Linked DNA regions of Lepisosteus oculatus. The protein of the gene in region 3 purifies or fractionates together with the protein of the main gene of each other region. This does not show direct contact. Links are inferred from orthologs where the notes say so. Each region holds a gene or a part of one and is shown on either strand. Other genes may lie near its edges.

Region 1 (10,092 bases), on a different chromosome or scaffold from region 3:
CTGAACCTCAACAGTGCCTTCTTCCTTTCTTTCTTACCAAAAACCCAAACACACATTGAAAATCTACCTCTACCATACATGTCAAAAGCACACTCCCCATAATTTCTATCCCTTTATTTTATTCTGTTGATGCATATTTTTGCACATAACCTGTTAACTTTTTGTTGTTTTGCACATTGCCTGTTGTTGTTTTTTGCACATTGCCTGTTGTTGGTTTTTGCACACTGCCTGTTGTCTCTGTCTTTCTTTTGCAACACAATTGTATTGTTGTTGTTTTTTTTTCTCTTTGTACTACTTATGTCCGAGAGCTAGCTAAATAGCATTTCGTTATACCATATACCATGTATATGAGTATAATGACAATAAACTTGAACTTGAACTTTGTTACTGTTTTTGTTGTTTTAACTCTTTTCTGTACTTTTCCTGTAAAAAATCACTGTGAGAAGATGCCTTTAAAGTGCTATATAAATAGTTGTTTTTTTTACCACTGTATCTGTGCTGGTGTCTTTCTGCCATGTTTAGGAGCTGGCGCTTCTGGAGGTGGTGACTCTGAGAAAAAAGAAAAGCCGCAAAAAGGGGGAAATGCAGTTAAGGTACAGTGGCACCGTTGAACTTTGTGTCAGACATTTGTAAAGTTTTTCATCTCCAGTGGGGCATTAAAATGGACTATTATAACTCGGTGTTTACCTCCCTAGCGTCAAATTGCCAAAAAGCATCCAACTTTGTTAACAATGGAATGCTTCAAGAATAATCTTATGATTATGAAATCTTGTGCAACGTTGAATAAATATGTTACGAAACACTTCATGGGATCTTGTGATAGTGTTTTCAGATGTTTGTATTGGGAAAGCCGATTGGCAGTATAATACCAAAAAGAATTCCCTTTCTGTACTTTTCTAAAGTTTACTGTAGTTTGCATGTTGATCCCCTCTCTCACACACACACACTTATAATTTATTTCAGGTCCGACATATTCTTTGTGAAAAACACAGCAAATCAATGGAGGCCATGGAAAAACTGAAGTCTGGGGTGCGGTTCAGTGAAGTCGCCTCACAATACAGTGAAGACAAAGCGAGACAAGGAGTAAGTGAGAAATGCATCTAGATGAGACGGGCTAAAACAAATGACAGATTAGAATACCTGTAGACAGCAACAGAGTTCCAGATTTTCAAGTTTCAGATTTTTTTTGTACCTGAGTACAATTAAATGCTTACTTTATGTGTGTTTCCACACATAACAGATGGCATCTGAAATTGTTGGAGACCAGAACATAAAAAAAAGCATGTACGCCAAAAAGATAGTGGAAAGCTGCAGTGTAAAATACCAGTAGCAGCCGTATACATGAGAAAAGTAACAACTGTAATTTTCAGCAGCATTCAATTAGTAGTAATATGCAAAAAACAGGTAGTGACAGTGTTGTGAGTTCAGTCCAAAAATAAAGGGGTATAAATGGGAAGTAGGAGAATTAAGGGGTGGTATTAAGAAATCTTATGGCCGAGAAAGACGTTTTCTTTAAAACTTGAGGTTTGGGCTTTTATACTCCTCAATCTTTTGCCACAAGATAGAAGAAATGGCATGCCCAGGGTGGTGTTGATCTTTAATTCTATTATCTGCCATTCTGAGGCAGTGTGTACTGAAGATGGGATGAATGGAGAGGAGTTCCATTCTGTAGCTTTTTTATGGTTGTGTTCTGACCAATTACCATAACAAACTGTAATGCATCTGGTGAACATGCTTTCTCTGTTGTACATTTGTGAGTGATTGTGAAGACATACCAAATCTCCGGAGTTGTCTAAGGAAATAGAGGTGCTGGTGTGCTTTTGTGATTACTTCGTCTGTGTCACGGGACCAAGTCAGATTATTGATGAAGTGAATGCCCAAAAACTTGATGCTGCTGACCATCTCCAAAGCAGCTGTGTTTATATAGTGTGGCCTCCTCTCTGCTTGCCTAACCTAAGAGGATAGAATGCCCTTAGATTATAATAGTATAGAAAGAACAGCACATAGATTATAATCCCTAACTGAAATAATAAAATCACACATACCTTTGCTACTATATGTGAAAGTACCAAATTAATAAATAGTTTTGCAGTCCATGAACATTATATTTAGTAATTTGTTTTATCCCAACCCCTTCTGCACAAAAAAAGTAAGCATGACTAATTAAAGGCTTTATTCACTGCACTTTTTGTAACTGGTCTTTTATTAGTCATTGCCTCTCACCGCCACTATAAGAGTCTAATGCTAACTTCCCTTCAGTGCATGGGAGATGTTAATTTTTTTAAATTAATGTATTGAACATGGCTAATTTAATATGAACCAGATTCGGTACGTTCAAGTCACTTCTCAGAAGTGGGCCAATTCCACCATACACTCTAAAGAAAGAAAGGTGAAGTCAGTTAAATTGAATGGTTCTCAAATTTTGGAACAGTATCTTATTTAGGGTGAAAAACATGTAGATGTAGGAGACCAAGCCATTTCTTCACTGTGGATGAGTAATGGGTGAAATGTTTGGAAGAACCGTAGTGTCAGGTGTTGTGCTGAAATTTGTGTACTGTGAATTTAAGAATCAATATTGAAGCTTTTCATATCCAGTTCTCACTCCAAAAATAATTTCCATTGTGAGCTCTGTTTATTTACAGTGTGGCAGCATTCTCAATACTGGCTGTTCAGATGTGCAATAACCAGCTCTTAGTTTCTTATCCCTTTAGTTGCCTCATTGAAAATGTCTTTGCTTACCTAATATACCTGTACACAACAGTCTGGTAAAAATCATCTTGTAAATTATTATTGGTGAAATTGCAAAAGGAAACAAAAACTGAAAAAAGAAAGCCGTTTTACAAACTACAGATTAAAAAAGTCATACTGATCCCTTTTTGTTGTGAGGATGAAGCAGAGTCTTCACAGAATTCGCTTGGTCTTTCCTATTGATGGGGTTGTATGAGCAGTAAATGTGCAGAGCACATGATGGAATTGAGACTCCCATATACACTAGTAAAAGCTGAATAGACATTGTCCCATTTACATATAGATAAGTGATGTTGTAAATACTGGTTTTTATTCACACTTTTGGTCACTGGATGGTGTATTTTCTCAATTTTATTATCTTCTCAATTGTATACAGTACTACAGTATTTTAGTGTTAAATTTACATGAATAAAAATCTCGTATATTATGGTAAATTATGAATAGCAGTAGCCATTAACATTGTTTCAACGTCTCTATACCTTAGAATCGCTTTCACATAATGTTATGGACACAGTTTATGTTGCTCCTGTATAATTTACATATTCTTGTTTTTTCTTTGTTACATTTTTGGTAGGTACAGTATAATCATGGTCCTGTGTTTGCAGTGCAGATTACTGACAGTTTTCTAAGTTGAGCTTTTTGGTTAGGAATTCTGTCCAGTTGTACAATAAATGCTGAGCTGGTCTTTCCTCTGGGTGTGACAGGGGGACTTGGGCTGGATGACCAGAGGCTCTATGGTTGGGCCTTTTCAAGATGCAGCTTTTGCCCTGCCGGTCAGCACCATGGACAAGCCTGTGTACACAGATCCGCCAGTGAAGACCAAGTTTGGGTATCACATCATCATGGTGGAGGGCAAGAAATAATGCTTCAGGATTTGAAGAATCAAGCTGGGCATCATCCCCTTGTTTTTTAAAACATTATTTATTTTTGGGAGAGGAGTTCAGAACTCATAGAGATACTGCTTGTTTGATGTAGAAATCTTAATACCATCATAAAACTCTCAAGAAGTGGTTACATGCAAGCATCACGATGAGGAAAACGTTCATAGCTGTTAAAAAACACAATCTGCTTTGATTTCATATGCAATTGTAAAACACTTTGGATACATAAAGAAAATGAGTGTGGGTAGGGATTGATTTGGAAAATAAAATCCCAGTAAATTCACTGCTCTTTTCTTGTACCAGATTGATTTTGAATGGGAAAAGGTGACTGTGTTCTTTGTGCATAAAATGGGAGGACTTTTGTGACAAATAAAAATAGTTTTGCACTGCATTTCATATAACAGTAAAAAAAAACAGCTTGTGTAGATTTTCCATGACTTTCTTCGTCCTGTTAAGAAACAACTCCTGGAATGTTTGGGGAAATTTTTTTATATCTATTTTGTATAGTGCTCTCCTTGATGTCTTGAGAGGGCAGCAAGATCAAAACTTGTTTTTGCTTTAGAGTCAAACAGTTTTTTTTTTTACCTTGGGATTAAAATGAAAGAAAAGTACAATGTATGTTTTATTATTGGGTAATTCCATGCATATATTTGATTTATTGGAACAAATACATATGATACCTCAGTTCTGGGGGACCATAAGTAGTGTATGGAGACACATTCACTTTAAGTAAAATTTAGAGTGAAGGTCAGTATTGGATTGCATATTCGTGTTAGTACTTCATTACGAGCAACATCACTTATAACATGTTTAATTATCTTTTATAGTAACATAGAAAAATCAGACATTAGAGGCTACATTTTGATATGATATGACTACATATTCATATTCTGTATTAGTTCTTATGAAATCTGCCTTTTAAGATATTTGAGTATTTTATTAAAGTTATTACTTCTTGGGAACTTTAAAACCTGTTCTGACTTTTTTTGTCAACAACAATATTTTTTTTGTTTTAATGTATCTTTATTGGGATTTTTGCAACAGTAATCTTTTTAAATAAAACATGGACCAGATATATAATATGGTCTAATATATAAATCACTACTTTTTATGGTGTAATGATAGTTTGTGGTGTAATGATAGTTTCCAAGAGAAACATTACTTAATATTGTGCATTAAAGAGAGGCTATTAAATAGTTTTTGTTTTACTACATACTACTTATGCGACGTGCATACTATGGAGGTACGTATTCATAAAGATAAAAGGGAAAGCAGATGTGTCTAACATAATTAATAATTGCTTACACTTATATAGTGCTTTTTCTGGACACTCCACTCAAAGCGCTTTACAGGTAATGGAGACTCCCCTCCACCACCACCACCACCAATGTGCAGCATCCACCTGGATGATGCGATGGCAGCCATAGTGCACCAGAACGCTCACCACACACCAGCTATCAGTGGGGAGGAGAGCAGAGTCAAAGATGTGGATTATTAGGAGGCCATGATTGATAAATCCAATTGGAAATTTGAACAGGGTTACACCCCTACTCTTTTCAAGAAACCCCTGGGATTTTTAATGACCACAAAGAGTCAGGACCTCGGTTTTACATCTCAGCCGAAGGACGGTGTCTGTTTACAGTATAGTGTCCCCGTCACTATACTGGGGCATTAGGACCCACATGGACCACAGGGTGAGCACCCCCTGCTGGCCCCACTAACACCTCTTCCAGCAGCAGCCGTAGTTTTTCCCAGGAGGTCTCCCATCCACGTACTGACCAGGCTCACACTGCTGAGCTTCAGTGGGTTACTAGTTGTGAGTTGCAGAGTGTTAAGGCTGCTGGCTAAACTTAAGCTCCTTATGTGAATTACATAATGGAGGAAGAAATCGAGTTTACGCTTCATACAAAAATGAGCTTCGTCTGATTTTATGGGAGCTCTTGTCTGCTGCATTCTGGCAAACATACGGTTAACTGTGCGTTTGTACCAAGTTTCTCTGCCTTTCATGGATCTGGGTCACTTGCAGAAATAAAGAGATTTTCGTTAATCTTTTAACGTCGTTTTATATTTTATAAGCGCGTGAAGAGAAACAGTTTAGTGAGAGATGAAAAATGAGGTGCAAAAATCCGAGAGCTCTTTTCATGAAAGAAAGCTCCTCCAAAACGCATTTATTCTGCATTTCACGTTACCGCCTCCTGCAATGCTTTAAAAAAAAGGTTAGCGAGGCTCGTTGAAGGTGTGGCCATTATGTCAGCGGCTATTGGCTACAAAAGGATGGAGTCAGATGACGTCCTATTTCCGGGTTTTCTCCGGAAGGTGAGAGGTTACTTTCGGTCAAACATTTCTTCGTTCAGAGAAAGAAGCAGCTCTTGGCCGGCGTGTCACAGGTAAGAATTAAAGCCGGCTGTCACTAACGCTCTCGTTAGTTTTACTACTGTCATGGCTAGTTACTGTGTATTTGCTGTATTAGCCTAATATACCTAACTGTCAACAATATTTAATATATCCGAAAAGCTAAGCGAAAGTTATCTCACGCCTTTACATTAAAAACATCCAGTAGTCCTAACGTGCTTGCCTCATGAGGAAGCAAAACGTGTCCGTAACTGTACTAGTTCCTCTTGTGTGCTGGGACGTGTCTACAGCGAGAACTAACGTGTTTTAGCGATTAGACAGGTAGGTCATATCTTGACTGGCTTTGTGAAATAAATAAAACGAAAGTGATGGGAGCACTTAGTTAAACCCGATTTACCAAAACTAGTTGTATGCGTCTCTCTTAATGTGATTTTCGCTTCCGTGATGTATTTCCATCATTAGCCGCTGCAAGAAGAAAAAGCGCCACGTTAAGAATAACATACCGGAAGCATGATCAGGACCTCGCCTCTGGCAAGAGAAGCGTGACAGTTTCAAAATAATCAATGCTGTCCGCGCAGTAGTCTGAAATTAATAGTTAGACAGGTGATTGTTGTCCACGCATTGTTTTCTAACGCTCATAGCTGTAGATAGCTCTAGGGGATCAGAATACGGTACCCAACAGAAGTGATAGTGTTTGCCCTATAATGTTTTATTCATCTAAACGGTCGTGATGAAAAGGAAATAGATTTTATCGAGAATTGTAAGGAATCGGTAGCTTGATTCGAATTTTTTACGGGTTTTTCTTGGGGAAAAAGGTGACCATTGTTGATTTTAAATGAAATCTTTGGTATGTTAATGAGCGAAGACGATCTGTAAAGACAGTGTTACCAGATAGTTTTACCCTTTATCTTGCGTGCATCAAGTGACACCGGGTCCAGTCTGCGATGTAGGTGATAGCCATATTTGAATCCCTTTTTTTGTGTTCTATAATATAGTCGGATTAGGAATATTGAGTCAAGAAACGTCGCTTTCCTGTCGGTAAACACCGTTTTCCTGTAAAAAGAACCCTTAAAATTAGTTGATTGGAATTTGTTTTATAACGCTTTCGATTAAAAATTAATCTCCTGCGTGAAGTTAATACTTTGCCCTTAGATCTCGGAAAACACACGTCATGTGAAGGTCTATCATGGTACAGTTTGGCAATGCTCTTGTTTTAGATCTAGTTCGACTTCATATAAAGGGGAAACTAATGACTAAAGACAGAAAAGCCTTTCAAAGACCATGCAAACTCTAAGATAAACTGTAAGAGTTTTTTTTAAAAAAAGACAAGTACTACGGCGGCCTGATCAAGCGCCATTAATTTCGAGACGTATGAGACAGCTCTCCTTGTCACAAACCCACCCCCTACGTTTAAATTAAAAGCAGATCAATTTACGAATGACAGTTGCTGTCAGACAGAGCTACCCTATCAGTTGTTAGTTGTTAGCTGAATCCAGCAGCACAGTAATAGAACGAAGACATCCGACGATGTCGTTTCTATAGTGACGATGGGGCGCATGTGGGGTTACCTTATTAAAAATAGAACAGATGGCTCGGAAATATGTTTAACGAGCGGTAGTTAAAACCCTGTTCTTTTTTCAGATTTTTGACATTGTTTTCGTTAATGCTTTTCCAAATGTCAGCGGACCTTTGATATACTATACTCGATAAGAAACAAAAATCATATATCCGTCAGTTTGTATACAATGTATAGTCCCTTACGACTGGCGTTTATTGGAAGCGTTTTACTACTGTTTCTTGCTTTTCTGAGTCGGGAGTCAACGAGTTCATTCCCCCTAGCCACCCACCCCCACAACGAGCTGAGGTTACTTTCGGTTAAGGGTTGCGTGTAAAAAGGGAGGGAGGGAGGGACCTGTGACGTCATGCACGCTTTCGGCTGGTTGGTTCTGGGTGTATGGTGTGTTCGGCGGTGACATTGCTGACGTCAGCGGCAAGACCTCATCTTCCTTTTGGATTTTATTTATTAGGCCAACATCTTCTATTGTTGTAACAGTGGGTTATCAAATAGCTTTTCAAATATCTTGTGACTTTTTCATCACGTTGTTTTGTTGTTGTTGTTTTTTTGTCGTGGACTTCCTAGATTCTTTAATTCTTAGGAGGGTACGAGCTTTCTCAGTATACACGCTAATCTATGCTAATATAATCTCCTTTCTGCTGATTTTACAAATTTTCCCAATTAAACCCATTTGCTTTAAGACCAGGACAGTAACTATGAGGGTTCTGGTCTGTTCATGGGAACAGAAATAATTTCCAACTCATAACTATATTAAAATAATAACATTCATGATAGACCAATGCCACTTACATCATTATAGTAAAACAAATGTAATTATTTTAATTGAATATATGTAGTAGAAAATAGGCATGTTTTTAATAAAAAATAATGCAGACAGGGAGTTGCTATACAGGTACATAAACCTCCTTCATTATCTGTAGCACTTTATTTGTAGGAAATTTAGGGTGATCTAAATATGTTTCTTTTGCATGGTAGTAAAACCTTTGCTGGTAATGTTTTGAACAATCAGCCTTTTAGTGTGTAGTGAGATTCAGGCATCATTGAACAGCATGGATGCAGACTTAGTGCAATCAGTTGTAAACTAGCTAGTAATGTTATTGTTGACCATATAAATCAACAATTAAATAATTTCTGTGGATGTTTCCTGATAAGAGAGCTGCGGGGGAAAAGAGGGTTGCTTTTCGGTCTAGAAAGACTAGCATTGATAATCTGCCTAACGTTTCTGGAGCTGTCTCCTTATTTCCACCTGTTGTGACACAGCAGCTGCTCAGAGTGGTGTGAGCCACGAGCTCCAATATAATTGGCTACTTCAGATAGTACAGTGCTGCAGAGAAATAAGAGATGGTGTGCTATTGATTACTCAGATTACATATGAGACCTTATATTGAAATAGGATGGGATATATTTTCAGACATAGGGATCTGTTCTTGGAGGTGATGGAGTTGCAGTACATTGGCTGTTTTATTGCTCGTTCTGGCTAAGGGAGATAAAAAGATCCCTGCTTAAACTCTAAAGGCACAGTTATGCCCTTGCTGTGCTTTTCCACATATATTTAGGACCCAATGCCTGAATTAAATCATATCTTTAACTTGTCCAGCACTCTCAAATGACAAAACATAGGCTTGATGATGGGCTTGGTTTACCTGAGACGTTTTTTCTTTCTACCAAACAGAAACTGGATTTGTGAATTTGTGATTGCTGGATGGGTCCTAATTATTTAACTTGGGCAAAAGTGTGGGTTACCGTGTTTACTGTAGTCAGCCCCAAAATACTATTACATTTCGTTGACACAATCATGCTGATGCAGTTCCGAGACAGTTTGGAAGTCCTTATGCGTCCTCTCAGAGCCCGTTACAGTAATACCAGACTCCAAACCCTCGATTGATTTTGTTTCTCTATTCAAGACATACATCCTACAAACACATATTCAAGCTTTATTTGGCAAGCGTGGTGCTGTTCCTATTTGACTTAATCGTACACGTTAAATGATGTGCATGATTAAATTGTTAAGTGAGAATGTTTCACAGTCCCTGGAGCAACACAAATTCAAACAAAATCAAAACCAAATATTTCTTCAGTCGTTCTTTGTTCCCTTAACATTGTTACTTGTGTCATATTTGTGTTTTCGAGGGAGTTGATGTGAAATGCAGCTTTCGGCTATAGCCTATATAAAAGTAATGTCATGCACAGACAAATAGCTATCCTTGAATGCGTTTGAAAGTGTAATTTCAGTTTTATCCTACAAAGGGCTGAATACTTAAAGTTGGGTTTAGAAGAGGTGGCTGGGAAAGGGGTTGTAAGGAATCCCACTATAATTTACTTTAAAAGCCTAACCCTTACATTTAAGCATTAAATACATAATCATTGGAAATGTAAGTCTAAATTAGGACTTTTGCAAAAAAAAACAAATTGGAGTAGGTGTGTAGTACAGACAACCTGATATTTTCAAGTTTTCAGTTGACATGTTTGGTGAAATAGTAAATTAGCATGGCAAGACTACTAAATGCCTCTGTGGATTCTTCCGTGAAAGGTAAA
Region 2 (11,066 bases), on a different chromosome or scaffold from region 3:
GAACTGGGAGACCACTGTGATCTGAGCCACCGCCCAGACTCTTCTCTCAAGCAGCAGATGGGATTAAAAGCTTGCTCACAGGTGCACACGTCTCCACCTGAGGCCTAAGGCACGGGTTACAGCTGGCCATCCAGGAACAGTTCTGGATAAGGGATATGGAGTGGACAAACCAGATGCCTCTTGCACTTCTAGTTTTCCACCCAAGTTCTGACAGTGTTGGTCTGGAATCAATCCAGGGAAGAGTAACCGGATTCACTGTGGGACATCAGGGGATATACCCCGACAGGCGTATATTCAGAGCTCAGGCATTTTAGCTTCGAACAGTGAAGAATATACGGGACCCGACTCAAAACAGTCAAAGTCAACGCAGCAGGCGTCTGCAGAATCAACAGTGAAACATGCAGCAGAGAACGCCGGTGGGAACGATATCAAGAACGCCAAGAACAGCAGAGGCGTGACCCTGCTGGCAATGGGACTTGGGAAAAGCAGTCCGGCCATGCTGTTGAAGCTGATACCCTGGCTTCTCGCAAGAAGCAATGGATGAGCCTTAAATCTATTAGCCACTGGCTTCTGTAGTAACAGCCAAACGGGCCTCCTCTCATCTCCTCTCGCCTTTCTCACCCCGACTCCTCCCGACCAAGGCTGGCACAAACACACACAGCAAGCCATCCTGCATTACTGAACTTGGAGAAGCTCTTAGACCTGCAGGAGACTGCTGCAATGTTTGAATGTCCATGCCATGCTACAGTATATTTCTTAGCCATGTTAATTCAGTGTACAAAATGTGCTGGCCCCTTGAAGACTGGGGTACAGGCTGTAATTTTGTGACAATCACGCTTCTCCAAAGTGATGGAGGCGACACTCACCAAGCCAACACATGGTAAATAAGAGCTGATAAAGCACCACAAGACGGCGAGACCCCCAGAACAGGACTCGGGCTGCCTGCCCTGAACACCGCAGGACAAGCTGGGGCCACTGCTGAAGAGAGGAGGTGCAGCAGGGCCAAGGAGCACCTCCTTAGAAACAGAAACTTCAACTGCCCGAAAACAGAACCTGCAGAACACACCTTGCCTCTTGCACACATTCGCTCCTAATGCTCTGGTCAGAAGTCAGAGCCAGCCACAGACACACGGAGAGCCAGCCAAGCTCCAGGGAGAGCCAGTCCACAGACACACGGAGAGCCAGTCCACAGACACACGGAGAGCCAGCCAAGCTCCTGGGAGAGTCAGTCACAGACACACGGAGCCAGTCCAAAGACACACAGAGAGCCAGCCAAGCTCCAGGGAGGGCCAGTCACAGACACACGGAGAGCCAGCCAAGCTCCAGGGAGAGTCAGTCACAGACACACGGAGCCAATGAGGTTTGCCAGGCCTTTCTAATGGTAAACTGCTGTTACAAGAAAATCAGAGGGGAAACAGAGGTGACTGTAAGGGGGAGGCTGTGTTCATGTTCACGGAAACTTAGAGGCCTTGGTGCAAAGATGCACTATAGTGACCCTACAGACTCCTTCAACAACAGCAGACAAAACAACTCAATAGGAGATCCCTGAACATTATCTCAAGGCCGGCCACAATACAATATTCTACAAATGCATCCATTAACTTTCCTCACTAACACATTAGAAGAAAACCTCTCTTACTAACTAAACTATACAGAGTATTAAAAAAATATTCCAAACATTAATGGAGCATTATGCAATGACTGGAAAACAATTAGACTGGTACATGATGATACCCAACTAAAACCTCTCAACACCAAACTCTGCACAGTTACATGAACATTGATATTCCTTGACAGAGACTAGATGTCTAATACCATCTTTCCAACTTCACAGTAAAACAACCACCCAAGAAACACTCCGGCATACTAATTTGATGGTGTAGCTGGTACTGAGCAGAAGCCAGGATTCTCTCCCAGCTGAGCCTCATGTGAGCCCTATTATTCTTCAACCCTCAAATTGACCCACAGTACATTGCATCCCTTGTCATAGTGCTGCTCCTGTTAGCTGGGATGAGATCAGATTCCGAGAGGAAAAGTCTCCCACGATGCAGCAAGGTAACATCTTACTTCCTAGAATACCGAGAATTTTGACTAAGGCCTGAGCCTTCTCCGAACTTCAAGAACAAAAACGGCACCAGTAGAGGTAACCAAGCACAGCAGGTGGCACAGATACGATACGGCCAGGCCGCAGTTAAAGCCATCAGTGTCGACTTCTTGAGCTCCTGCACGCCAGTGACGAGCACAGTGAAGGGCCCTGAAAGACCAAGTGCCAGCAGGAGGCAGTAGCCGTTACGGAGCACAGAGACCCAACCCAGAGCTCAGAGAGAAGCAGGCTCCGACACGCTGCCGGTGGCCGCCTGTGTCCAGAAAAGACGCTTCATCAGCGGCGCCGGGTCAGCGGAGACGAAAAGGACCCGATGCTCCCCTTCCTTTCGATACCGCCGGACTTTCAGAGTCCGATTTCTCCCCGGTCTCCCAGAGTTCGAGAACACAAATGCTTCCCCTCCTCCCCCCCAAGCTCTGCTTCAAGCCAAACATTTTCGACAGCTCTCGGAGAGACAGAGCGGGCCCTTCGGGGCCCTCACGAGTGGCACTGCCCCGCAGGCAGAGCCGCTCCCCCTCCCCAGGACGGGCACGTCGACGTCGGCCCGGCCGAGGCTCTCTGGGGAAAAGAGAAAGACGCTCTGGAAAAGAAAAGCTCTGCACGGGATTGCACCCAGCGCAGTGACAAGCGGGGGCGCTTCCTGCTGCAGCTCTCCAAATCCCTGCCCTTGCAAACCAAGGATTTAAGAATTACCGGCCCGGGATTGCAGCGTCTCCCCCGGGAAGGTCACACGCATAACCAGGCCCTGACGGCCAGGACGCGCCAGCCGCCAGCTCCTGCGCGCCGCACCCCGGGGGGAGCCAGCGGCCAGACTGCTCCGTGCGCCCCCCCTCCACCCGAGCCCTGCTGATGCCAAAGGCACCACCTGCGGCGGCCCGTGTCCTGCGAGGCGGCCAGCTGTCAGTCCCCAGCCCCCATCAGCAGGAAGGCGGCCGACAGGGGGCTGGAGGGGGAGAGGCGCACCAGATCCGGGATCGGGACGGCTCCCGCGGACCGAGGGGCTAACGAAACACTTGTTACAGCGGCGGGAGGACAACAACAACAACAACAACAACAACAAAAAGAAATCAATGTGGAAGCTAATCACAAGACACCAAGAGCCTCACTCACACACACACACACACACACACGCTCTCCAGACTGGAGGGGTTTCACCAGCTCCCCCCCGCAGGGTACAGGTGCAGGTCAGCCCAGTGAGGGGCTGGAGGCCGGCTGACTGCGGATTGGGGGGGGGAAACGGTGCACAAGCAGAAAAACAAAAAAACAAAAAACAAAAACAAAACAAACTCCCACTGCTGTGCAGGTCTGCAGCAGAGGCAGAACCCGGGCTACCGAAGTTCACTCGGTTTCATCGCGAAAGCTGCGGCGCCCGGGAGCCGGTTGAGGATAACGACAGGACCGGACTCACCCGCTGACCAGCAGCCAGCGTCCGGCACTCACAACACACACACCGACAACAACAAAACGTGCCGCCTACTTTCCTGTCAGAGCAGCGCCGGACGGTGCCCATCACTCCGCGGCCTGGGGGGACACGGGGCCCCTTTCTCAGCCCGACAATGGAGAGAAAAAAAATCAAACCAGTCACGTTTTTACGGACGGTATTAGATCTAGCAGCGCACAACAACGGCAAACACACACACACACGTCTCCCGATCTGTGAAACCAGCAGCCGGGACGCGGAGCCGCGCTACAGACACGACCACCAGCATAACGCCTCTCCCCCGATCACGATGATCACCAGGAGAGACGCCAGACGGTTGTTTAAGCCCCCAAATCGCGTTTTTCCACCCCCCTAACAGGACACCCAGGTGCATGAAATCGCGCAAAATATTAGGAGGCGAGCCCCACCAGCACCCGTCCCAAGACACGGGCGAAACGCGCATCGTTGCGTTTCTGAGCTGCCCCTGGCATCAAAACTAAGCCCTTGGTCTTGTTTTCTGCACACCAGGTGAGATCTTAATCTCCCCCCCACCCCGGCAAAAAAAAATAATCAGCTCAATGCAGACAGCATCCCTGAGCGAAAGGATACAGTTTGAATCCTTTGAGAATCTCTTTGGCTCTGTCTTCGTGTGAAGACATGTTCCTGGAAATCGACAAGTCCCTCGTCCGGCGGGAAGACGGCTACAAGCAAACAGCTAAATGATGTCGCCGCTGCACTTTTAACTCGCGGCGGAAAATGAATAAAACGGCAGCGGTTACACGTATAAGGCCAATAGGTGCCGTTTTTAATCTCGACAGCAGCACTCTCTCTGATCCCTTAATCAACCTAGCCTAAATAGATTGTGGGTGAGTGACAGCTGATCCGCCCGCACGGATGGCGGAAAACAGGGGGCGGGCACAAAATGAACCAATCCGTGCGGAGAGGTCCGGTGAGGGGGAGGGGCTTTGGTTTGAGGCGAGAATCGTCACCGATGGCAACCCTCAGCAACGTGACGTCACCTAGCTACGGCTGTATGGCAACGTGTAGGAGACAAAGTTCGTTTGGCGTTTCAGCTCATCCTCCTGGGTCCTGCACACTAACTGTAGCTAATAAAGTGGATCCCCTCTCTATCCTTGTGTTGTAATTTCATTGCTGGAAGAGGTCTATGTTATGGAGAACACACGGGCAAGGCGATATTCTGTGTTTTTAGATAGAGTACCACCATCTGTGGGTGGTCACTAAAATGGTATGTAAGTTGAATACAATTTCTGCAATTTCCCTCACGGGATTCATAAAGTATCTGTCTAGCTAAAACACTGTTTTAATTCATAAACAAACCACACCATATAAACCTGCGAGTAATTTTAGAATTGTTTCAATTTTACTCACAATAAAGTCCTCCATCTCTCTTTGTCTGAGGGCTTGTGGAAAACGAGAAGCAGCTGAACTGCTGGAGAGTCCCAGGAAGAGACAACTTGAGACACTGTGCACTTCCAGAGTGGCCTCTCTGCCTCTCCCCTCTCCCAGCTTTTGTTCTCCTGTGCTTTTTAATCTTTGCTGTCTGCCCTGTCTTTCTCACACCTGAAGAAGGCTTCCTGCTTGAACTGCTTGATAGAGCTGTTTCAGATACAGGAGGGAATAGGATCTAGCAGGAACAAACTCCAGCAGGGCTCCAGAAGGGCGTCTGGTGCTCGATTTCTCATCGCCCCTAGAGCACGAGAAGAGCACCGCGGTTTATGAGTGACGGCACAAGGTCTGTCAGCTGGTGCCTTCGGAGTTCTGCTGCTGAACTCCAAACAAAGTGATCAAATCCGAGGTAGAAACTTTAGACTTATCTTGGCAAGAGAACTGTAAAAAGTCTGAGCCTTTTGTTCACTGTCTGTCTGTTTTGTTTTGTTTTGTTTTTATTGTGTTTTTGTTTGTACGTTGTTTCTTAACTTTTGTTTGCTTTGTTACAATGTTCTAAGCTTCTGAAATAAAATATATAAAAACTCTGAACTCTAAAGACCAGGGTGTCATTGCCCTGCCAGGTATGAAGATATGCTGTATATTCATCTTTCCTGGTCTGGACTCAGGCCTTGCAGCATCAGACCCGGGGACGAACACACTGTTGTTCTGTGACACAGGACGGTCCAGTAGAGAGTTCAAGTAGGGAGCTGCGCCAGCATGTGCAGACTGCACAGGAACAACCTGGAGGAGCACACACCTGAAGAAGGCTCCACAGCATCCCTTTTCTTTTCCTCTCAGCGTGGAATAGACCTTCACCTGCTCCTGCTCAGCACGGGGCCCGTAGATAGAGCCTTCCTGCGCTTCTTACCTAAACTTCGGAGAGTGTCGGCCCATCCTGCCCAGTGCCTGCACAGGACCGTAAAGCAGTAGCAGCCCTGGCCTTTCCCCCATCATGCCTCGCTGTGGGACAGAATGTCGGTTTGGAGGCAGGACTGTTGGCACAGATGTAGCGGAGCGAGTTCGGGCACGGTGACTCATCGCCCTCCCTGCGCGTAGCAGGGACCTCAGCCGGCTGGGCTGGGGGAGGTCTCCTTTAGCTCATGCGGCTGCTTCTCTGTTGTGTTACGCCGGAGACCCGGGTTTGAGCCCCAGGTGTTGCGGGACGGAACGGGCGGCGGAGGGCACGACCCCGCACGGAACCGCGACGGTCACACAGACACACCTGGTGCAGGTAGCAGCAGACCTGGGTCAGGTGTCACCTCACACAGTGAGTTTACAGGCGGCCAACAGAAAAAAAACGAAGAATTGGAAGCGTAACTCGCGTAATTGAACCAATCAGATGCCAGAGGTCAGGGTTCAGGGTTCTGGGGTCTTCTGCTGTCCTATCCAGAGGTTCTCAGCCCTGGCAAACTGAACAGCAACATTCTCATAAGAAACACACTGTAGACTCCTGGAGAAGAGTTTATAGATCCCATTAAGTAATTAAATTGTCTAGGTGAAGCCAGGAGATTCTGTAGCTTATGGAGACTGGACCAGCCCACAGTTACAGCTGAAGTTACAGCTGTTTAATCTTGAACAGAAGAGACTCTGAGGGAACCTGATACAAAGACTGAGAGCCCAGGGATGGAAGGTGAGCCTGTTGTGACTAACAATCAGCCGCAATAAAAACACAAGCAGACAGCGCTAGAGCCTTCAAAAATAATCATAGTTTAATATTAACAATGGCAGGTACAGTGTTAGTAGGGTAAGTAAAAATAACTAGTCCCACATAAACGCTCTGGTCCCGTCAAAAATAAAACCGAAATAGAACCGAAAACACAAAAAAACACGAAAGGGAAATCTTCTGGGGACCCGACCTGTGTGACAACTGTAAATCAAAACAAAAAACAACTAAAGGGAACAAATCCAAAACACAAGGAGGAAGAAAATAAAACAAATAAATCAATAAAAGTCTCAGGAGAGAGCTTTTGCAAGGCTCTGGTAGTCGACGTTGCTTACGGAAGACGTCTCTGGTCTCTGTAGGTCTCTGTAGATTAGGACACATAGGCAAGCTGGAGCTCCTCAGCTGATGGTAATGAGGACGTGACCTCCAGCAAATACCCAACAGAGACGCAGACAGGCTACCATCCCAGCAGAGGGGGGCTTCAGAATAACCTAAACATTACAGAGTATTCCCAGTTCTGGGAATCGGCCAGGTCCACCCAGTGGAAGGTTTTCAGAATGAAAAGTGACACTCGAGGGAAGAGAACAGGAGGTACTTCTCTACACAGAGGGGTGTGGGAGTGTGGAACAAGACCCCCAGTCGTAGTGCTGAAGCCGGTACCCTGGGTCCTCTCAAGAAATGGATGCTGGATGAACTAGACGGGCCGAGTGGCGTTCTTGGGTTTGTGGCAGGGGGAAGCACTACTGATTATTATTATTAATAATAATAATAATAATAATAATAATAATAATAATAATAATAATTGCTTACACTTATATAGCGCTTTTCTGGACACTCCACTCAAAGCGCTTTACAGGTAATGGGGATCCCCTCCACCACCACCAGTGTGCAGCCCCACCTGGATGATGTGACGGCAGCCATAGTGCGCCAGAACGCTCCCCACACACCAGCTCTCAGTGGGGAGGAGAGCAGAGTGATGAAGCCAGTTCAGAGAGGGGGATTATTAGGAGCCCCTGATTGGTAAGGGCCAATGGGAAATTTGGCCAGGACGCCGGGGTTACACACCTATTCTTTACAAGAAGTGCCCTGGGATTTTTAATGACCACAGAGAGTCAGGACTGCAGTTTTACATCTCATCCGAAGGACAGCACCTGTTTACAGTATAGTGTCCCCGTCACTATACTGGGGCACACCTGCTAAGCCAAAGAAGAAGACAAGCACACAGAAAGTCTGTCCACAATGCAGTAACTGGCGTCTGACATGCCTGCGGCAAAGTTAAACTTTCATGAGCTCAAGCTGCTGTGCAGCAGGAGCCCCAGCCCTCCCGCTGCAGGGACAGCGATGCGCCCAGTGTGTCATCCTGGCCCTGTGCAGGACGCCACAGGGGGGCGCTGCAGGGCTTCCTGCAGAGACTGCCTGCTGATGCACACTCCTGAGCCTGGCTTCTCACTGCAGAACAGACTTTCAATCGGGTGAACCGAGTTCTTCCCCAACAGTCGTCTCGCATATTCTAGTAAACCTGCTCTGATTCCTTTGCAGAAATCGCGTTTTTCCCTTTTGTTTAATTTCCCGACGTATCGCTGGTGTGCGTTAAAAATAGGAAGGAAGTAACGAAGTTTGCTCTAATGTTTGCTCTGAAAAACTAATGTTACAGTAACAGCAGAGGGATGTTGCTGCGCCGTCATGCCGGTAGGCATAACGGGTAGACATCCTTCCTCCCGTAAGCCTTTCAAGCAGAGACTCCCTCCGTGCAGAGTCGTGCTAAATACCTGTGCAGAAACGGTTTCATCTGTGTGGACCGGCGAACACGTGGCAGCGGGAAAAGAGAGGTCGAGACTTTCAGGAGGCGCTGTGGTGCGAGTCACGCGTGGGCCGGTGGGAGCCGGGAGAGAGGCCGCCCGCCCTCACCGCAGCGCTGACAAGCGCCGCTCTTTCTGAGCAGCAGAGAGATATTGTGTCAGCGTCTGACACGCAAAACATTTATCAGGGAAAATAACAAAAAAAAAAACCTTGGGTCCCTGATATTGTGGACTTGTAGTTTTTAATGCAACGAGTTATTTTTTCTTAGACTGTTAGGCTGTGGATTTTAAATTAGAGGCAGCTAATTAAATGGGTCTGTGCCTCACGAGGTATTATTGCACTTTGTACCTGAAGGCTGGCGAGTGCGGACACGAACGAGCTGAGATCTCTCTTCACTCCCAAGCCCTTAGTTATAAAACCCACGTCTGGAAAGAAGACCACCGTGTGATTGGCAGCAGAGAACAGAATACTGTCGCATGTCTGTCAGTGAGAACATACCGACTCCAGTGATGATGTCTTCTGATTTCTCTGATTTACTATAGTTTACTGTATGTGTTGCTATAAAAGCAGCACCGGAAATCAATTTACTGCGCAGTGTAGCTACTGTGCGTGCTGCCTGCTGTGAAACTGACTATTGAATCTGTTAGTGAGGGTCAACAATTGTAACTTTCGTGCATTGTCCTGGTTCAAGGTTTCAGCCAGATGAATACTATTAATGGTGCCACCGTGAGTGCTGTTGTTAGCACACCTGCTGATTCTGACACTGTTACTACTGCTATTATAAGTATTAACATTAACGCTAACTACATATAGAATAATGCAAATACAGTGTAACACTGCTCTGTCACCCTGCAGCTCCCAGCTGGCAGCCCACTGGAGCTCAGCAGTGTGAGCCTGGTCAGTATCTGGATGGGAGACTCCTGCGTGTTAGTGGGTCCAATAGGGGGCGCTCACCCTGCGGTCTGGGTGGGTCCTAATGCACCAGCATAGTGATGGGGACACTGTACTGTAAAAAGGTCCCTTGGATGAGACGTAAAACCGAGGTCCTGACTCTCTGTGGTCATTACAAATCCCAGGGCGTTCCTCAAAAAGAGTAGGGGTGTTACCCCCAGCGTCCTGGCCAAATTTCCCCCTGGCCTTTACCAGTCATGGGCTCCTAATAACCCCCATCTCTGAACTGGCTTCATCACTCTGCTCTCCTCCACACTGAGAGCTGGGGTGGACACTGGTGGTGGGGGAGGGGATCCCCATTACTGGAAAAGCGCTCTATACGTGTAAGGAACTTTAAATGATCATTCTGTGTCTCAGGTGATTTTTAAACTGCGTTGTGTCACGGCGCTGCAGCCTGTTCATTCCGATAACGGCGCACAGCGCCCCCTTGTGGTACAAATCTCACGCAACGCTGCGAGGAAGAAGAGCGCTGTGGTTTCTCTCTCACTGACCGCTCTAGAGCCGCCTTATAGTCCAAGGAGCGAAGTTTGACTGTAAAAAGCGGAAATCCGACTCCTAGTGCTTTGCTTTTTCACCAGTAACTGACACGTGCCCCCTAAAGGTTTTCAATATTTTGTATTCCTTTCTATATTATATAAATCTCACGTTTTTAGAGTCCAGTGAGAGAAATTAATAATCGTGTTACATCACGTCCTGCCTACCGAGGAGAGTCGCGGGAAACAAAACCCGTCTTTTCAACAAGAAGCGACAGGAAAACGCAGAACAGCCGGGTGTTGTAATGACGTGAGCGGGCCACAAGGGGGAGATAAAACACCGTCTGAGCTGTGATCCATTCAGCTTGATTTAAAGAAGTACCTTACAGCACACACTTAGAGTGCTGTGACTGTCTTTAATTTAAAAAGAGGCCATATCATTTTTATTGCAAACAGCATCCATTTACCTAAAAGGCCCCCTTTCTCGTTATGTGGTAGCCTAGGAGATGATACCTGCACTTGCTAATTAACAACATTCAATTACTCGACTCAGTAACGGACAGGTGAAAGGAGGTCTGAAGGAGGGAGCGCAGAGTGGCTCTTAATAAACAAACAACTATTTCCAAAGTCGTATTTCACAGACCCCAATTTCCCTACGCCAGGGGTGTCAAGTCCTGAACCCGGAGGAGTCTTTAAACCTGCAGAACCCGAGGAGAAGGAGCAGTGCAATTGGGTCCAATTGAGCAAGTCTCCAGCTGGTTCAGGCCACGAAGAGCTGAGGTGGAGTGGGGTGGAGCAGGAGCAGCACTGGACCCCCCTGCCTGCCTCCTGCTCGAATCACTCTTGTTGTTACGGGTTCAGCCTCCTAGTGGTGATCCTATGTCCTCCTCTGCTTCGGTTTCAGCCAGGAACCGGCCTGTTTCTTTTTTCGAAGCCAGAGGAAACAAAGTGTCAGGGATTTATTGTATCATCCCCAATTCACGGTTCTTGTGCTGTTGTGTAACCCTGTAGACAAGATCTGAAGCAGAGCTCATCCCACCTCGGGAAGGTTTTCCAACGGGGGAGAAGCGCTTGGCTGTTCAGGCGACCCATTGCCAGCGCTCCCCGCCCTCACGCTCTGCCCTGGGGGCACCAGCGGGGTTGGCGCACGCCGACTAGTCCGGGGTGCCTGCTGGAGTCAGGCCGCTCGTCTGCAGTCGCCCTGCG
Region 3 (10,712 bases):
GTCAGTATGCGTAGGCTGCAAAAGGAACAAGTAATGGCGTATTCCATGCTGAAAAGAGAGGAAAAGACACACCACGTTTCGGATGTCTTTCCCAGCTATCCCAGCTATCCACACTGTGAAACAGGAAGGAGTCTGGGAGACCGTTAGAGGGAACATGACACGGCTGTGAGGATCAAAGATCTCTCCAAGCCCATAGTTTCCCATTTCACCTCTAATGGCCATGATCACACTGATCTCTTCTTCTCCCCCAAGGGGGGTTTCGGAATCCTATTGCAGAAAAACATCTGAAACCAAAATTATCCCGAAGCTAGGATCACACCTTCCCCCTTCTCTCAATGACAGACTCGTTTCCTTCTAATCCTCTCTATTCATGTGTGGGTTTTGACTTCACACCTCTCTTCACCTCTCTCGACTCCACACCACCTGAGGGCCCACTCTGCTTCCCTCCTGCTCCTGCCTCCTCTCCACTCCCGGCTTTTGTTCTCCCATGTTTTATCAACTGCCGATTTTCCTCTGTCTCTCTCACACCTGAAGGAGGCTCCACTGCCGAAACGTTGCACTTCTTTTCTTCTCTTTTCGGCCTGGAAAAAACCTTTACTTGTTCCTTTGTCTGTAATTATTCCCTGCAGGTTGGCCTCCTGAGACCTCAAGATAACGGGAGATTGGATTTGTGGCGCAGTGCTTGACTCCAATTAGCCTAACCCATCAGACACAAAACAAAATGACCGCAGAAAAGGGGAAATCAATTTACAGCACAAGTGTTTTGCTGGCACATACTGTATGGAAACATACTCTTAGTGGACAGCTTTCCAATTTGTACCTCCACTTCTCTTTCATTCTGTTTTGGGGATCTGAGAGAGGTGAACATATTGTATTACTTTACAGTTCTTAGTATTCTGGAGAGAAATAGCAGGACAATTAGACTACAATTTCCTACAAAGAATTTTCAGTCTTCATTTTGCTAAACACATTAAATGGATAGAATTAAAAATATACTTTTAAATACAGGGCACATTCTTTACAGGAATAGAAAAAAACATGAGGCCAATGACTTTAATTACTCATTCATCTGCATATTCAGTAACTCTTGTAAGTTTACCTATATTACACAAAACACTTTTACAATAAACTGACTAAAGAACTAGATGAAATGCTCCATTTCATGGCAAACCAAGATGACTAATCTTTTTTTTTCTCCACAAATTGCACTTCCTATTAAATTACAAGCAGATAAACTTTTTATTACACATTGAACTAACATTAGAAACCTGTACATGCTAAGAGGTGACACTAGAAAACAAAAAAACAACAAAAAAACTCTTATTCCTTATGTTTCTCAACTACAGAAAACGCCTGTCTTCTTTTTCTTGCTTGAGAATCCAAAGGAAAATCAAGAGAATCCAACAAATATGAGCTTTTCACATGTGGGCGGTTTTCATCAATGCTATGAAACTGCTTTAATGGTCTATTCCATGCACAACAAACAAACAAGACTACAAGATCCATAATGCTCTGCTCAGGAAACAGGAAGAAATGGCAGGGCAAGTGCAATGACTGCCACTAGGCAATAACACCTCATGGAAGTTAGTGTAGTGATTTCAATACTGAATAGAGAAAGAATCGTATACTGCACTGCATGAGTGTACATGTATTTCACTGTGTACTAACAAATTGCACTGGGTGGTGGAGAAACAGTTCCAGTATGCATGCTCTAAAAAGCACCTTGTTCAAACTGTGAAGCAAATAAAATAAAATGTCACATGGACCTCAGAGAATAAAAATGAACCCAAGTGCATTGCTTTAAGAAAAGAACTTTAGAACCATAAATCATCTTTATTTTTATGTCTCCATGCCTTACTTTGAACTCCTGTGACCAGCTTGGCCATTGCTCTGAAGCAAGCAGTTGGGGCAGTCCAACACTTCATCCTGATCACACAGTGCCAGCAGCGGTACTGGTGCTGACCAGCTCTCTCCAGCACCCTGTCAACTCGTCGGTGCCCGCCGTCGTGTCGATTTATTCATCACGGTGACTCGCCAAACTGCGCACCAACGTCTCCGCAACGCCTGTCACAATCAGCTCGTGACATAACCCCGTCTCAGGCCAGCGATTTCTGTGCGCATCTTTACAGCTGTTGCCACTTGCGCACGGTACACACTACAATGAAAAACTTCCCCTGCTGTGCATGCTCTTATTTGAACTGTGAAATGTAAGAAACGACTCAACAGATGAGCCCCAAAAATGTTCCTCGTGCAAACACATTGTAGAAAATACCAGCTACACAACATAAAACACTAAAATTTCCCGGGGTGTAATTTCTACAGTAGCTATGAAATACAGCACAACAGTCATTTTTCATTGGACCTTGGAATTGACAGCTATCCATTCCCCTCTTCCACTTGTAGTTCAACATCCTCAACAGAGGGCAGGAATTGTAAGGGAAATATGAAGACGACAGCCTGAATAAGATGAATTGTATTTAAAAGTGAAAAACAGCATCCACCGCTTTTCACAAAGGGTTGTGGGAATTCTGGAACACATGACCCCACTCTGGTGCTGTAGCTGACACTGCCCCTGGCAAGACCTCTGCTCAACCAGCTACTAGCACCCAAACAGTCTACATTAGGCAGACTGAATGGCTTTTCCCTCTTGGGAAACCTCTCTTGCGACCCCAATTCCAACACTGTTTATTATCAGCACCCTCTGCAGACAACAGACTTCAAGTCTTCTCCTGCCATCATTCTACACTCCTTCATGATGTGATCAGGGATCGTTTAAATATTTCATCACGCACTGCCCGATCTACATAAAGTGTAAACTGCACAAACCGAGTAAATAAACCAATTGAATGGGTTTATTGTAGATGCTCCTCTCCCTCTCCAACTCCTAAGAGTGACAACAAATAAAGGTGAACAGCTGAGTCCATATAGAATTGAACATTCACTAAAGCAGGTATATTATTTACTGGGCTTAACAGTCTCAGACATCTTTCATGCACAATGAGAGATGTGAAAAGCATGTTCCTCTTTGTAACAAAGTTCATCCACGTTGGCTGTCTCTCAGTCCTAAATCTAAACTAAATCTAGGACTTATCATAACTTCTGTAAAGAACAGGCCCTTATTTTTTTTTTGCTTGATTGCAGCTATATTCTCTCCAAGTAAATGTCCTTTCTAAATAAGACCCACCTTACAGAAAATATACATGATATCGTCAAGTAGAGAGGGGAAAGCTGAGTGACTGAAGTTACTCTGGTTGTCATCAAGAGCCAATCACACGATTGAACTGACCGTGCAATTTCTTTAAGATAAAACCACAGCAAAAGTGACTCTCATTAAAAACGCCAAAGTGTGCGGTGTTCGGATGTCTTGGTATCTTGTGGAAAGAGCAACGCGGTCTCTTAGTCCACTTGCTTCAGCCTAAGGACTTTGCACAAGAAATGTCCGAATACAACGCCGTATAAACTCTTTAGAGTTTTTTTAAACGAAGACATCAAGCTCCTTGTTGCACGCCACGCAACAAGTACATACCTTAATCTTAATGCTAGATACTACAAGTACTATACTGCACAGTGCAATTCGATTTAAACTGAAAATAAAAATGACAGATCTGGAAACATAAATCCTGTTTTAAAAATAAAAAACATTGTATTGCATACGTTGTTACAAGTCCTAGCGCATTAGAAACACAGTTCTAAAATAACCGTATTAAAAAATAAACATCTGTCCTGACGATGAAGCGATCAAACGTTCTGAAACGTGTTTCTAGGAATCGAGATGGCTGGGGATCTGACTAGGGGACTCGTTCGACAACACACACTGAATTATATAACCCCTTACCTCCCCAGTTTCAGCTCAACGCGGCCGACACATAGTTGCTTAAAAAATGTTTTCGGACCCTCCCCGACCAACTGCTTGCATAAACAGATTTGAAGACACCCGGGGAGGCTGAAATCCTTTCTTCGTCCTCCGTTCTCAAGCTCTGGAAAGCGGGGAGACGAGGTGGTGGTTGGCAATAAAAAAAATAAATGTGTGCTGATCTCCCTTCTGTAGTGTTACGGCCCCCAGAGACCGAAACAGGAATTTGCTGGCGGTGCCGCTAAACTGTTACCGTCTGGCCGCCTGGATCAATGCATAAACTCCGACATTGTGCAGCGGCTGGTGTTTGTTGTTACAGTATCTCGGCAGACGCCGTAGTTCCCGCAGCTGTGCATCTGCGAAAAGTGATACGAGGCTGCAGCTCTTCTTGCGCTAGCAGCGAGCCGAGACTGCAGCAGCACAACGCAGGAGGATGCGTGGGGCTGGGTTTAGCACAGCCTACGTCAATCTCTCCTGCTTTAACTGCCCTCGCAGCCTCCTGGCAACAGGGACGAGGCAGCAGACAGGATAGGGCAGTGAGCTCCGGCTCCACCAGTCGGAGAGAACATCCCCGACTGTCCTGCTGGAGTCCGCAGACCAAAAAAAATAAGGACTCGGCTTTTGTTGATGTCATTTCTAATCATTTTAACAAGCAATTGACGCCATCCGCCTGCAGACTGTAAGACATGCGTCAAGATTTGTATTTTTACATGTATGAACAATACTCAAATGATCTTTTCTAGGATAACAGTGAGACATAAAACCAAGCCCTGCAATTGGAGCTGCGCGGCAGAACTACTCAATGCGTGCTGTGCACTTTTACTCTGGAAATGTGGGAAGTTACTACAAGCCTCGGCATTGCAGAGTGAATCGGAGGAGCGTCTTTATCTCAACAGTCAGCCTGGTCAGTACCTGGATGGGAGACCTCCTGGGAAAAACTAAGGTTGCTGCTGGAAGAGGTGTTAGTGGGGCCAGCAGGGGGCGCTCACCCTGCGGTCCATGTGGGTCCTAATGCCCCAGTATTACTGTAAACAGGCGCCGTCCTTCGGTTGAGACGTAAAACCGAGGTCCTGACTCTCTGTGGTCATTAAAAAAATCCCAGGGCGTTTCTCGAAAAGAGTAGGGGTGTTACCCCGGCGTCCTGGCTAAATTTACCATCGGCCCTTACCATTCATGGCCTCCTTATAATCCCCATCTATGAATTGGGTTCATTACTCTGCTCTCCTCCCCACTGATAGTTGATGAGTCTGGCGCACTATGGCTGCTGTCGCATCACCCAGGTGGGGCTGCACATTGGTGGTGGTGGAGAGGAGACCCCATTACCTGTAAAGCGCTTTGAGTGGAGTGTCCAGAAAAACGCGATATAAGTGTAAGCAGTTATTATTAAATTATAATAATTATTATTATAATTCTGGAGTTCTTAACCTGAGGGTCGCGCAATAGGCAACGCACAGAATTAACCAAAGGTTAACGCACACACTAGGGCGGTAAACGGGACACGTACGCATTTTCAGGATGGTTAAACATCAAAGGACAATAAAAGAGGTTCACAATTAACTATTCCAGTATATACACCAACAAATAGTTTAGACTATTTTCATTAGCAGTGGTCACTCTGCGAGCCCATAGACCATCTCCCGGCTACAACTCCCAGCCTGCTCTGTTCTACATTAATTTCTTTTTTTTTCTTTTGCGCAAGATAGTCGTGATAAGCCTAGCAATGGAGCGTTTTTTAATAGGTGGCACTGGAAGAATGAAAGCTTAAGATAATGTGGAGAAACACACGAATGTGGAGAAACAGCAGAAAACTCCGAACAGGAAAAAAAAACGAAGAAAACGAGAAAATACGACGAAAGGTACCTAAAGGACGGATTTACACAGACAAGTGATGGAGAGGTTGCACGACTGCTATGTGTGGTTTGTGGAAAGGAAAGTCTCAAGCCCCTCCAAATTGCTATGCCACTTGCAGACCAGACACTCGACCTTGCAGTCTAAACCTGTTGAGTTTTTTTTTTGAACGAAAGCTACAGGAGCTAAGAGGCCAACAATCTAACCTCCAAAAGCCACCACTGTGAACCACAAGGCACTTCAGGCGTCTTTCGTCATAGCTAACTGGATTGCCAAAACTGGGAAGCCACACACGTTAGGTGAGACGTTTTTCTTACCGTGCGCTAAGGAAACGGTTTCAATCATGTGTGGGGAAAAGCGCTGCAGAGCAGCTAGCAGTGATACCAGAGTGAAATTATACCGTGTCTAACCGCACTGGGCGTATGGCAAGAGACGCGGAAGAGCAGGTGATCGCTAAGATCAAATCTAGTGTGTATTGTTCTTTACAACCTGGCGAGACCACTGATGTCTCCGGAGATGCACCAATGCTTGTTTACGCCAGATTTGTTGAAAAGGGGAGACATTAATGAGGATTTATTGTTAAGTCGTCCTCTTCCCGAGCGTGTCACTGGCGATCAACTTTTCGTTTTGTCCGTGGGCATGAAATTGACTGGAACACGTGTGTGGGAATCTGCTCAGACGGTGAACGAGTTATGACTGGCAAACACAGCGGGCTAGTCACGAAAGTACAGGTCATTGCTCCGTCCGCTTTGTATGATTCATAGACAAGCCCCCCGAGCTCAAACAAGTAATGGATGAAGCTGTACGTACTGTAAATCCCATCAAGGTCAGTGCAACAAGCGCACGATTTTTAAAGATTATTCCAGAAATTAAGCATAGGATGACTGGAGAGGCAGCCTTTTGCTACTACGCATCCAAACTGTGGAATAGTTGAATATTTCCTAAAAACATTAGAGAGGCTGGCTCTGTGGATATTTTTAAACGGCAGCTCAAAACATATTTTTTTTACTCTTGCTTTTACTTGATTTTTCTTGTATAATTTCAGGGCTATTTGTACTGTTTGCACATGGTTCTCACATTTGTTATTGTTGCTTGTTTTAACTTAATATTTTGTAACAAGCACTTTGAGTTGCCAAAAATTGTATTGTATGCTATATCAATAAAAATATATATTTTTATGTGAGTAGGCTTACAGTTGATACAACATGACGATCCCCTGATCTACTCTAGGAAACATCAGTCGTGACTTGAAGGCAGTGTGCACCAAGTAAATCTCATCTCACCCATTCCTTGGGGTTCCATCAGAGTTCACATCCACAGGTAGTTTGATCCAGACACACATAACAGCTAGAGAGTAATAACTTCCCTTTATAATAATAATTGCTTACTTTATATAGCACTTTTCTGGACACTCCACTCAAAGCGCTTTCCAGGTAATGGGGATCCCCTCCACCACCACCAATGTGCAGCCCCACCTGGATGATGCAACGGCAGCCATAGTGCACCAGTATACTCACTACACATCAGCTATCAGTGGGGAGGAGGACAGAGTGATGAAGCCAATTCATAGATGGGGATTATTAAGAGGCCATGATTAGTAAGGGCCAATGGGAAATTTGGCCAGGATGCCAGGGTTACACCCCTACTCTTTTCGAGAAACACCCTGGGATTTTTAATGACCACAGAGAGTCAGGATCTAGGTTTTATGTCCGAAGGCAACACCTTTTTACAGTATAGTGTCCCCGTCACTATAATGGGGCATTAGGACCCACACAGACCACAGGGTGAACGCCCCCTGCTGGCCCCACTAACACCTGGATTTCAAGAGCCATTGTTCAGCACCTTTTTCTAAATCTCCAGCTTCTCATGAACAAGGAAAATCATTTTAAGACAATAAAGAGCTCAAATGAGGTAATTTAGGGCTCAGGGGGAAAGAAAAACCAGAAACCATCTGGAACTTCAAGACTGATTCCTCTGCTTGAGGAACACATGCTCAGGAATTACTCAGTGATTTTTAATTAAAACACATAATCCCTGTTCAATCATAACAGACCTAACTAATGGATACTGAGGGTTTTATACAGGTGGCTTTAGTCACCTCCAGTAGAAACACCAGTGCAATGTAATTAGATTAAGTAGTGGTTCCTAGGATTAGCTACAGTTAATCAGCTAAGAGGAACCATGACTCTACCAAAAGTTAAAAACCGAGGGGGCGGAGTGGTGGCTCTGTGGCTAAGGATCTGTGCCTGTGGCTGGAAGGTAACCAGTTCAGTTCCTGTGGCTGGCAGAGGAATCCTACTCTGTTGGGCCCTTGAGCAAGGCCCTTAAACCCAACTGCTCCAGGGGCGCTGTACAATGGCTGATCCTGTGCTCTGACCCCAAGCTTCTCTCTCCCTGTCTCTGTGTCTAATGGAGAACAAGCTGGGGTATGCGAAAAGATGAAATCCAATTGCAAGAAATTGTATAGGGCTAATAAAGTGATTATCTTCCTCTTAAGACCCTTGCAAGGATTGAAAACGGACAATCACCGCCGTTCCGCCGTTGTTTTAACTTGTGGAGTGTTATTGTATGAGATGTTTTCCTTTTGAGATGTGTTTTTTTCCGGAATAAAGTATATTTTATAAGAAAAAAAAAAATCTTCCTCTTAAGAGCAACTCCAGTCTTCTTAAAGTAGAAAAACATCTAATAATAATAATCAGAAGTGATTCTACACAGAGAATCACTGCAATTAAAGAGAAAGTTCAGTAGTACAAATACATTGATATTAAACTCCTCCGCATGTATTGAGAGGGTTTAGATTCTGTGTGTAAAAAATTATGTAATAACTGAGTATTAATAGTTACTTTCACATTTTGGGTGTATTTGTAATATTAAAGGTTGATTCTGAACTAAAGAATTACAACAAATGAACAGCAGCAATCGTAAGAACCATTTTTATTTTGACTTGTGGTGCAGTGAGTGGAATTTAAAATTGCTGCATCAGGCGAGGGCTGGAATCACGTCCCCTTCGCCGTCAGAATCGGCCGACACAAATACTCACACTACACTTCATGGGAATGGCGTTACGGTCAAATAACGCCACCGCGCAGGAGGTTTTAAAACAAACAAAAGCTATCCCAAAGAAAAGGATGCTGGATTCACCCCTCCTTAAAAAAAAAACCCAAATTAAAAAAAAAACTCATGCTGTTCTGTTATATTTCACTCGTACGCGAGATGGGGAAATATTTTTAAAGGGTTACACATCATTGGGTAATTGACCTGTATTAACAAGAATACATAAAATCAGCACACAAGTCCTGCAGTGTTGTGAGAGTTGCACAGTGTTGAGATCCATTCATACACATGATGGGTATCGCAGCCTTTAAACAATGAGGTGACGATAGAGGGCAGAACCAGATGTGTAGCCCAAGCCAAGGACTGAGCAGTCCTGGTGATCTCTGGCAGCATTGCCGACATGTTCCCGGTCCAGCAGAGGCTCCGCGCTGTTGTCTTGAGCTGCCGCAGGGAAAGACCTCCGCAGGCGGGAGAGCGAGACTCTTCAGATGCTATCCAGTTTCTTCAGGACGTAGGGCGCTGGGAAGGCAGAGGGGGATGGGTCAAGGCTAGCACTCGTTTGAAAAACATGGAAAGAGCTGAGGAAAGTTCCTCAGTGTGCAATTCAGAACTGAAACTCACATCATGAGAGTAATCGATTGCCGGCACCCTTCAACAGTCTTCTCACAGCCCACAACGACTGTCAGAAACTGCTGGAGCTACTTATCAGTGTATTGATAATTCCTTACACTTATATAGTGCTTGGCTGGAGACTCCACTCAAAGCGTTTTAAAGGTAATGGGGACCCCTCCACCACCACCAATGTGCAGCATCCACCTTTACTATCAATCGGTGAGATTCGCAAGTCGCAATAAAGCCCAATCCATCATTCAGAAAGACAGCCATCCCAGCCACAAGCTGTTCTCTCCCCTGCCCTCAGGGAATCGGTACCGCACTGTTAAAGCAAGGACCACTAGACTCTAGAACAGCTTCTATCCCACTGCAGTGCGCATCCTCAACAGCTAACTGCAGTACCTTAATACACATCTGCACTACGCAGTTTTTACATAGTCTACCATTTGTTTCTGGTCTCACTAGTACATATTTATTTATTTTTCCACAACATATTTATTGTTCCTATTGCCAACATTGCGTGGTGTGTTGTCTGTTCTACTGTGTATGTCCTGGCAGATCAGCGCGATTAAGAAATCCAATGTACATGCACATATGCCAATAAACTACTCTTGATGATGTGATGGCAGTCATAGTGCACCAACATACACTCACCACACATCAGCTATCAGTGGGGAGGAAAACAGAGTGATGAAGCCAGTTCACAGATGGGGACCATCAGGAAGCCATGATTGGTAAAGGCCAGGGGGAAATTTGGCCAGGACACTGGGGTTGTTACCCCCTACTCATTTCAAGAAACACCCTGGGATTTTTAATGACCACAGAAAGACAGGAGCTCTATTTTACATTTTATCCAAAGGAAAGCACCTTTTTTACAGTACAGTGTCCCCAACACTTCGATTGGGCATTAGGACCCACACAAACCACAGGGTGAGCTTGGTTTTACGTCTCCTCCAAAGAACAGTGACTTTGTTTTCAGCATATTGTCCCCATCACTATACTGCAGCATTAGGACCCACACAGATCGCAGGGTGAGCGCTCCCTACTGGCCCCACTAACACTTCTTCCAGCAGCAACCTCAGCCTTTCCAGGAATCTCCCATCCAGGAAGTACTGGCCAGGCCCACACCTGCTGAGCTTCAGTGGGCTGCCAATTGTGAGCTGCAGGGTGATATATTGGCCAAAAAACTACAACCACTGTTCACTGTCAAACAGTTAACCATTCTAATACGAAACACAAAAATGAGCTTCAACACCATGTGCCACTCTAAAGGCTGGAACAATCTAGTATTGCCAAAGACAATTTAAAATTTGTTAAAACAAGGTTTAATTGAAACCAATCATGT

What was found.
Region 1: the proteins of fbxo10 (region 3) and acsl4a purify together in Homo sapiens (affinity purification with western blotting; 3 studies listed by BioGRID, with this or other methods). This does not show direct contact. The link is inferred for Lepisosteus oculatus from reciprocal best matches to the Homo sapiens genes FBXO10 and ACSL4.
Region 2: the proteins of fbxo10 (region 3) and pde6d purify together in Homo sapiens (affinity purification with mass spectrometry; 3 studies listed by BioGRID and IntAct, with this or other methods). This does not show direct contact. The link is inferred for Lepisosteus oculatus from reciprocal best matches to the Homo sapiens genes FBXO10 and PDE6D.

What each region holds. Positions count from the first base shown.
Region 1 is NC_090703.1:41,092,456-41,102,547, forward strand, and holds the start of acsl4a (long-chain-fatty-acid--CoA ligase 4), read left to right. Parts: upstream 1-5,929; 5' UTR 5,930-6,016; intron 6,017-10,092. Other genes in the region: pin4 (peptidyl-prolyl cis-trans isomerase NIMA-interacting 4), read left to right, coding at 523-593, 964-1,083, 3,453-3,611. UniProt on the Homo sapiens protein: Catalyzes the conversion of long-chain fatty acids to their active form acyl-CoA for both synthesis of cellular lipids, and degradation via beta-oxidation. Preferentially activates arachidonate and eicosapentaenoate as substrates.
Region 2 is NC_090708.1:1,880,143-1,891,208, reverse strand, and holds the start of pde6d (retinal rod rhodopsin-sensitive cGMP 3',5'-cyclic phosphodiesterase subunit delta), read right to left. Parts: upstream 4,415-11,066; 5' UTR 4,184-4,414; coding exon 4,134-4,183; intron 1-4,133. UniProt on the Homo sapiens protein: Promotes the release of prenylated target proteins from cellular membranes. Modulates the activity of prenylated or palmitoylated Ras family members by regulating their subcellular location.
Region 3 is NC_090696.1:67,256,362-67,267,073, forward strand, and holds the start of fbxo10 (F-box only protein 10), read right to left. Parts: upstream 5,098-10,712; 5' UTR 5,022-5,097; intron 4,296-5,021; exon of another isoform or gene 3,978-4,295; 5' UTR 3,836-3,977; intron 1-3,835. Other genes in the region: tomm5 (mitochondrial import receptor subunit TOM5 homolog), read right to left, coding at 9,240-9,274. UniProt on the Homo sapiens protein: Substrate-recognition component of the SCF (SKP1-CUL1-F-box protein)-type E3 ubiquitin ligase complex. Mediates the ubiquitination and degradation of BCL2, an antiapoptotic protein, thereby playing a role in apoptosis by controlling the stability of BCL2.